Macaca fascicularis: one gene and its partner. The protein of the gene in region 1 purifies or fractionates together with the protein of each later gene. This does not show direct contact. Links are inferred from orthologs where the notes say so. Each region holds a gene or a part of one and is shown on either strand. Other genes may lie near its edges. The genes, in order: ESYT1 and SYNJ2BP.

Region 1 (3,817 bases):
GGAGATCGAGACCATGGTGAAACCCCGTCTCTACTAAAAATAGAAAAAATTAGCCGGGCGCAGGGGCGGGCGCCTGTAGTCCCAGCTACTCGGGAGGCTGAGGCAGGAGAATGGCGTGAACCCGGGAGGCGGAGCTTGCAGTGAGCCGAGATCGCGCCACTGCACTCCAGCCTGGGCGACAGAGCGAGACTCCGTCTCAAAAAAAAAAAAAAAAAAAAAAAAAAAAAAAAAAAAAATAGCCGGGCGTGGTGGTGCGTGCCTGTAATCCCAGCTACTCAGGAGGCTGAGGCAGGAGAATTGCTTGAACCTGGCAGGCGGAGGTTGCAGTCAGCTGAGATCGCACCATCGCACTCCAGCCTGGGCAACAGAGCGAGACAGCATCTCAAAAAAAAAAAAAAAAGTATTCTGGAGCAACAGTTGGGGAACAGTGGAGAGATATTCAGGGAGGTGGGGAGTCTAGGTAGATGGATTAAAAATCGGAATGAAGGGAAAAGAAGGAGAGGAGAAATGTTACTAATCTGGATAGACACAATAGGGTATTCAAGAGGGGATAAAGAGGTGATTATCTCACTTGCACATCGAGCTCCTGGCTTTGAGGGTCTTGTAGGAAGAACCGGAATGCTTCCTCCCACACTGGGCAGTTGGTACTGTAGACAGCCTGGAGATGTGGAGGAGGGATTAAGGGTGTACACCACAGCACCACTCCTGTTTCTCCAGAAAACCTCTGCACATAACAGGCATTCTAAGGGGAAACCATTCCAAGAACAGGCCCCTCCCTGTCCCACCTGGCCCCCGACAATGATGTCCCGGCCCTCACCTTGCTCTCCTGAGTCACATCCTGAATTGACAGTTGTACCATGGGGTTGGGTTCCTTGTTCCCCTTCTTCAGCTGTGGTGGGTACAATTCAGAGGTCACCATCTTGGGGGATTTGGTTTTGGTTTTGGTGAAGGAAGGTGGGATCGCATCAAAATCCTTTCCCTGAGATGGATCTGATCCCCTCCCTGGGACCCTTGTGTTACATGCTGATACTTCTGGAGCAAAGCAGGCAGTGACAACTGCATCCTCAGCAAGGCAGGGTTGGGGAATGCTACATCCAGGGCTCCTGTTCACCCAGCCAAACTCACAGGAAGATCCTGGGCCCGATCCAGGTAGACAACTAAGATGGCAGCTGATGGGGGCTCTGGTCGAGAGGAGACTCCCCGATTCCACTGTAGAACCTGGGGAGGGGAAGTAGTAGTCAGATCTTGGTCCCCGTTCCAAGTCCCCTACATTTCCAGCTACCTACTTCTCCCCTGCCAGCTTCCTGTTTCCCATGTGGTGTACCTGCTCCAGTTTCTCTGCATCTGACAAAAGCGACAGCCATTCTAGCCTCAAGTGAACTTGGCCTTGCCCACCTTGTAGAGGGAACCACTAGAAGAAATTGAGATGTGGTAGAGATCAGATATCTGCTTAACTACTTCCCTACCAATGTAGCAACTACCGTCTGCCCAAGGGGTGAGATCAGCCCCCACCTTCCTCTTCTCCCAACTTACATCATCCAGAACACCAGCCTGTAACACCTTCCCTACATCCAGCTTCATTCTGGGATGGGGAGGGGAGAGGGTAGTGAAAGGAAGAAAAGGGGAGTGTTGTAATTAGCAGCAGGTCAGTGGCCCTCCACTCACCCACCGAGAAATGACTGGCAGATCTCAGACTCCCTTATTCCTCTCAGGAGATATTCACCTGCATGCGTGAATGTGTGCATGGTAGGGGTTAGGGGTGGGGAGGTTAGGAAGGAAAATGATACATTATTCCCAGGCCCAGAAGGTGAGTATAATTACCTCCAGAACCTCGGTAGCATGGGCTTTATTATTATTTTTTTTTATTATTATTTTTTCTTTAGAGACGGAGTCTCGCTCTGTCGCTCAGGCTGGAGTGCAGTGGCACGATCTTGGCTCACTGCAAGCTCTGCCTCCTGGGTTCACCTGCCATTCTCCTGCCTCAGCCTCCCAAGTAGCTGGGACTACAGGCGCCTGCCACCACGCCCGGCTAATTTTTGTATATTTAGTAGAAATGGGGTTTCACGGTGTTAGCCAGGATGGTCTTGATCTCCTGACCTCATGATCTGCAAGCCTTGGTCAACAAAAGTGCTGGGATTACAGGCGTGAGCCACCGCACCCGGCCAGCATGGGCTTTAGAATCCTAACAGGCGGAGTCTCACCTGCCCAGAAAGTCATCTTTATCTGGATCCTTGTCGAACACCTCCACTTCAATCTCCTGCCCTGGGACCTCGTGTACCATCACCTGGGGAACACAGAAGGCTGAGTGTCTCATGGGGCTGCAGCTGTGAAGATCATCTCATCAGCATCTTCTCTCACGGCCTCCTGGGGCTTCCCCATTTCACACAGCTGCTCAACTCTCCCACCTCATAAGTCTCTCCCCACTGTGGGTTGAGTTCTTCATCAATGACACGACTGCAGAACGTCTGGGTGCCCAAACGCACAAGTGCGTACGGGTCTGACTTGCCCTCAATCAGGCCCTTCACATATTTGTCCTTGGAACTCAGCCCTCGAGCAGCCAGCAGGTGAATTCGAATAATGCCCTGGAGGAAGGAATCAGATGGTGAGAAACTAAGGACCCAGCAAGGGGTTCCTGAGAGAAGGATCTATCTAGTGGGGAAAAGGCCATACCCTGGGCAGAGGGGAACGCAACTGAGCCACATCTTGAAGGTCAGGCACAAGGGGCACCAGTAATCGATTGGGCAACACGAGGAAGGCAGCGATGGAGTCCATGATCATGGTGTCAGAGAGTGAGCTGAATGGGGGAGTAGAAAGCAATGGGTATGGCCTCAACTTCAATTTTCTCCTAACCCCAACTATGTTTCCCACACCTAAAGCTGTAAGAAAGTCCTTTTGTAAAAATCCTTTGTGCTACTCTTCTACCCTAATTCCCCACCTACTGCTCTCTCCCTTCTTCACTGCCATCCCCATTGCCTTTTGCAGTCTTCAGCCCTCTTCATTCCCTACCTGCTCCCTCAACCCGAAGAAAAATCACAGTATCAAACTTTCCAGGGGTATTTGTCTTCGCTCCCCAACTGAAGTTGAGGCTCCTAGAGGACACAAGCAGCATCTTTGACTGCTCTGTGTCCCTTAAACCCCCAACCCAGCGCTGGAACACTCAGCAGATGCTCAGTAAGTCCTTGATACCTAAGTCCTGGGATATCCAGCAGGTTGGTCATCCCTGTCCAGTTGATGTCTAGGGTCTGCAGGGAAAGAGCAGGGGTCAGGACAGATCCTATGGGGTGTGGTCATACCCATCCAACAGTTGCCAGACCCCTCGGCCTTCTTGTCAATTCCCTTCTCATTCCGCATCGCTGGCTGCCCTCATCCTCCCAGTCCTCTCTGCTTCCCCTGCTTCCCCATACCCCTTCATTGTTTTCCCTTACCGGGCGTCGGATGAAGAACATTGACACAGCCCCCACAATGGGAAGGTCCCCAATGAGTGGCTCCAGAATCACCCGCAAGACACCATGTAGCTGAGGCAAGAAGAGAAAATCAAAGCCTTTCCCCAGAAAAGTCCCTCTTCTGTCCTCCCAGACTTTCTCAGCCTTGGTCTTTCCAACCTCACAGTTCCCCATATCCCATGAAACGTAGGACAAACATTCCCTATTATGTGGGCCCCCTGACATATGGCCTACCTGCATGCCCTTGACTCCTGCTTTGCAGAAGTATTTCTTCACTTCTACATCAATCTGCACATCACCTACATAGCTGGGGATTGGTAAAGAAGAGAACCAAGAGGGTTAGTCCTTGGCTGAAGTTGCGGGGAAGGGGAGTG
Region 2 (3,817 bases), on another chromosome or scaffold:
CACTTTGATACTCAGTTTTCTTTCCTTCTCTTTTTTCTTTTTTAAAATATTTTATTTTACTGTGGTAGGAACACTTAACGTGAGATCTACTCTGAACAGATTTTTCAGTGTACAATATAGTATTATCTATAGGCCAGTGTTGTACAGCAGATCTCTAGAACTTGATTCATCTTGCATAACTAAAATTATATGTGTTTAAAATAGTCAAACTCATAAAAACAAATATTAGAATGGTGGTTTCCAAGGACTTAGGGAAGAAGAACTGGGGAGTTGCTAATCAATGAGTAGTCAGTTTTTTCTACAGTGAATAAAACTTGTCAATTACTATACCCAAATATAGATTGAGTAGCCCAAATCCAAAAATCTGAAGTCTGAAATGCTTCCAACTCCAAAACTTTTTTTTTTTTTTGAGATGGAGTCTTGCTCTATCACCCATGCTGGAGTGCAGTGGCGCGATCTCGGCTCACTGCACCAACTCCAAAACTTTCTAAGGGCCAACATGATGTTCAAAGGAAATGCTCATTGAAGCATTTCAGATTTCAGATTTTTGGATTAGGGATGTTCACCTGGTAAGTTTAATTCAAATGTTCCAAAATCCCCCAGATTCAAAATTCAAAACACATTTGGTCCTAAGCATTTTGGATAAGGGATACTCAACCTATATATAGTTGTACTTGAAGTAGCAAAGGAAGGGAAGGTAAATTTGGTGATTTAGTCCTACCATGAAACAGCAGTTACCTTTCTGATTCTGAGGTTTCTCTGCCAATACCTACACCACTGCCTCCACCAACCAAAATAGAAAGAAAAAAAAAAATGAAACTCTCAAGAGATTTTTCCAAAGCACTATCATACATAAATTCTCCAGAAGCTTGGGAGAAGGAAAGTGTGGAAGGGAAGGTATGGTTAGGAATCTCTCACACTAAATTAGGAACAGTTCATTTGATAATTGGTAAAAATGCATAGCTTCTTCTCATGAACACAACTAACCCTGCTGTGGTAATATCAGGAATGTCAGGAATTGGGTCCTTTGAATACCATCAACAGGATCAAAATTAAATGTGAGTAGAAGAATTTACATGTAGGCTGGGCATGGTGGCTCACACCTGTAATCCTAGAACTTTGGGAGGCCAAGGCAGTAGTGATTGCTTGAGGCCAGGAGTTCATAACCAGCCTGGGAAACTGAGTTATGAACTCCTGAGTAGCTGGGATTACAGGCGCCCGCCACTATGCCCCCTAGCAAGACTGTCTCAAAAAAAAAAAAAGAAAAAGAAAAAAAAGAAAGAACTTAGAGTAATCACCATTACTCTTTAAGTTCTATATATATCTTTCTTTATATATTCAACAAAACAGGTGAATCACTGTGTTTATATTTTCAGTTGTGCCTCATTTGAGTGAGCAACTCAATACTCTTGATACTGCTGACCTTGTTCATGACCATTCACCAGCTCCATCACAGCCTGACTCGCCAGCGTCTCCTCTCCATCAGCCTTTCCTGCCCAGTAGGCTTTTCCTCCCTTTCTCTTCATCTTCTCTAATCCCTTTCTTTCTTCTTCACCCCCATCTTTTTACTCCTCCATGATTTTCTCAGGGCTGGGCTTCAACATCGTCGGTGGGACAGATCAGCAGTATGTCTCCAACGACAGTGGCATCTACGTCAGCCGCATCAAAGAAAATGGGGCTGCGGCCCTGGATGGGCGGCTCCAGGAGGGTGATAAGATACTTTCGGTGAGAATGGGCTTCGGCCTCCTTCACTGTCCTTTGCTCCCTAAGCCCTAGGTCCTACCCCTATCCCTTTCCTTGGAAAGATTTGGGTCTGGAAATATACAGATTATAGAGCTGAATGGGAACAACTCTGATCAGTCATTCTTTCCAACCCTATCATTGAGCATGGAGGGCAATATTATGCTCACCTGATAAATGAGAATGTGAAGCCCAGAATGTGAAGTTACTTGTTCAAAAAGCACGAGGCAGGAAGCAGCGAGGGACTCATACGGGGAAAAGAGATATAAAATCCACAAATTTTGTCTTTCATCCGTCATTGCCTCCTTTTGTTGATTAAAACACTAATGTGTATCTTCCTTTGGGGGAATGTCAGCCCTTATAATTGGATTTAACTTCAAAAAACAGAAAGAAGGAAGGTTGGAATTAAGTGTCCTTTTCAGACTCAGAGCCCTTTTTCACCCATTATTAACATGAAAATTTGGAATGCAGTTGATTTGGGTATCTGTCCACTGTGTTCCCATTTCATCCTGCTAATGTCTCTACCAAGACTTACTACATGGAAATTATTAATCTTATTCTTTTCTAGAATTTCCTCAAGGGGAGTGACAAGATCCTTTTTTTTTTTTTTTTTTTTTTTTGAGATGGAGTCTCGCTCTGTCACCCAGGCTGGAGTGCAGTGTCATGATCTTGGCTCACTGCAACCTTTGCCTCCCGGGTTCAAGTGATTCTCCTGCCTCAGCCTCCTGAGTAGCTGGGACTACAGGTGCCTGCCACTATGCCCAGTTAATTTTTTGTATTTTTAATAGAGATGGGGTTTCACCATGTTGGCCAGGCTGGTCTCGAACTCCTGACCTCATGATTCGCCCTCCTCGGCCTCCCAAAGTGCTGGGATTAGAGGCGTGAGCCACCGGGCCTGGCCTAAGATCTTTTTTTTAACATGTTGAATCATAGCGCAATGTTTAATAATGTTTAAGAAATGAACAAGTTAAGAAATTCAGGCAAACCTAAAAAGACTAGCTGATAAATACGGGCCCACAGACCTCAGGTCTTAAAATAAATTAGAACAAGCCTACAGTAAAAACTATTAAAATGCAAAATATAACTCTGGCCCTATTGTTCATTTCTCCACATTACCATAGGTCACAGTAATCCTATGATACTATCAGTTGCTGGGGGATAAGGAGGTGTAGATTGGAGATAATTATTCTGTAGAATTTCTTTTTTTATTAACTTTCAGGACTAGTGAAAAATGGCCAACTTATTACTCGTATGGAAACAGTACAGATGGTTGGTATAAAGAATGGAAAAATGCTGAGGGTGTGAGATATTATCTAGAATATTCTTGGGAGAGCTGGCTTCAAAGGGCTAGACTTAAATAAAAGGAAATTGAAATAGGATAGGGCTTCTCATAGGAGAAGCTCCTAAGCAGAAGCTCCTGTCTTCTCCAGATGGGCCATAAGCCCACAGTCTGAAGAGGAGAAAACTATTCCCTGTTTTCTTTTAGAACTGAATAGGGCAGGATGGCCAGGTTGGGAAAAGATTGAAATAAATGAATGAAGTATAGACAGGAGAAGTCTTGATTGACAGAATTAAGTATTAGTCTCAGAGACATGATTTTGAACCTACCTCTATAATAAGTTAGCTTCATCCCTTAAATTTTTTTTGCTATATAGTTTCATTTGAATTTCACTTCACTTTTCATGCAGTTCAGGTGATTAGTGATTACAGGTCATACGTGTGAAATCTCTTGCTCTTCTTAGTTGCCAGCTTACTGAACACTTCTCTGCCACGCAGCCCATTTGGTAGTAGTACCTGAAGGCAGAGATACAAAGGAAAAGAGAAAGAACATCCATCTTCTCTTCATTTGGCATCTGAGTATTTGAGTGATCAGGCTCAGCAGTATGGATCTGAATGCCTCTTCAGGAAGACCGTGACTCCACTTAGTCCCCAAAAAAGAAAGAAAATCAGAACAAGTAGCTATTAGAGCCACCTAAATTAGCTCAAGAATGTCTAAGCATGTGCCCTCGCTGATCTATAATATAAATATAGTATCAAGCACCACAGTATTTCAGTCCTTCTCATTGACTGTTTTGCC

Evidence for each region.
Region 2: the proteins of ESYT1 (region 1) and SYNJ2BP purify together in Homo sapiens (affinity purification with mass spectrometry; 4 studies listed by BioGRID and IntAct, with this or other methods). This does not show direct contact. The link is inferred for Macaca fascicularis from reciprocal best matches to the Homo sapiens genes ESYT1 and SYNJ2BP.

The regions. Positions count from the first base shown.
Region 1 is NC_088385.1:62,917,320-62,921,136, reverse strand, and holds part of ESYT1 (extended synaptotagmin-1), read right to left. Parts: intron 3,751-3,817; coding exon 3,678-3,750; intron 3,516-3,677; coding exon 3,426-3,515; intron 3,243-3,425; coding exon 3,187-3,242; intron 2,795-3,186; coding exon 2,671-2,794; intron 2,583-2,670; coding exon 2,406-2,582; intron 2,285-2,405; coding exon 2,202-2,284; intron 1,583-2,201; coding exon 1,534-1,582; intron 1,412-1,533; coding exon 1,325-1,411; intron 1,219-1,324; coding exon 1,126-1,218; intron 920-1,125; coding exon 818-919; intron 659-817; coding exon 572-658; intron 1-571. UniProt on the Homo sapiens protein: Binds calcium (via the C2 domains) and translocates to sites of contact between the endoplasmic reticulum and the cell membrane in response to increased cytosolic calcium levels.
Region 2 is NC_088381.1:138,275,582-138,279,398, reverse strand, and holds part of SYNJ2BP (synaptojanin-2-binding protein), read left to right. Parts: intron 1-1,588; coding exon 1,589-1,725; intron 1,726-3,817. UniProt on the Homo sapiens protein: Regulates endocytosis of activin type 2 receptor kinases through the Ral/RALBP1-dependent pathway and may be involved in suppression of activin-induced signal transduction.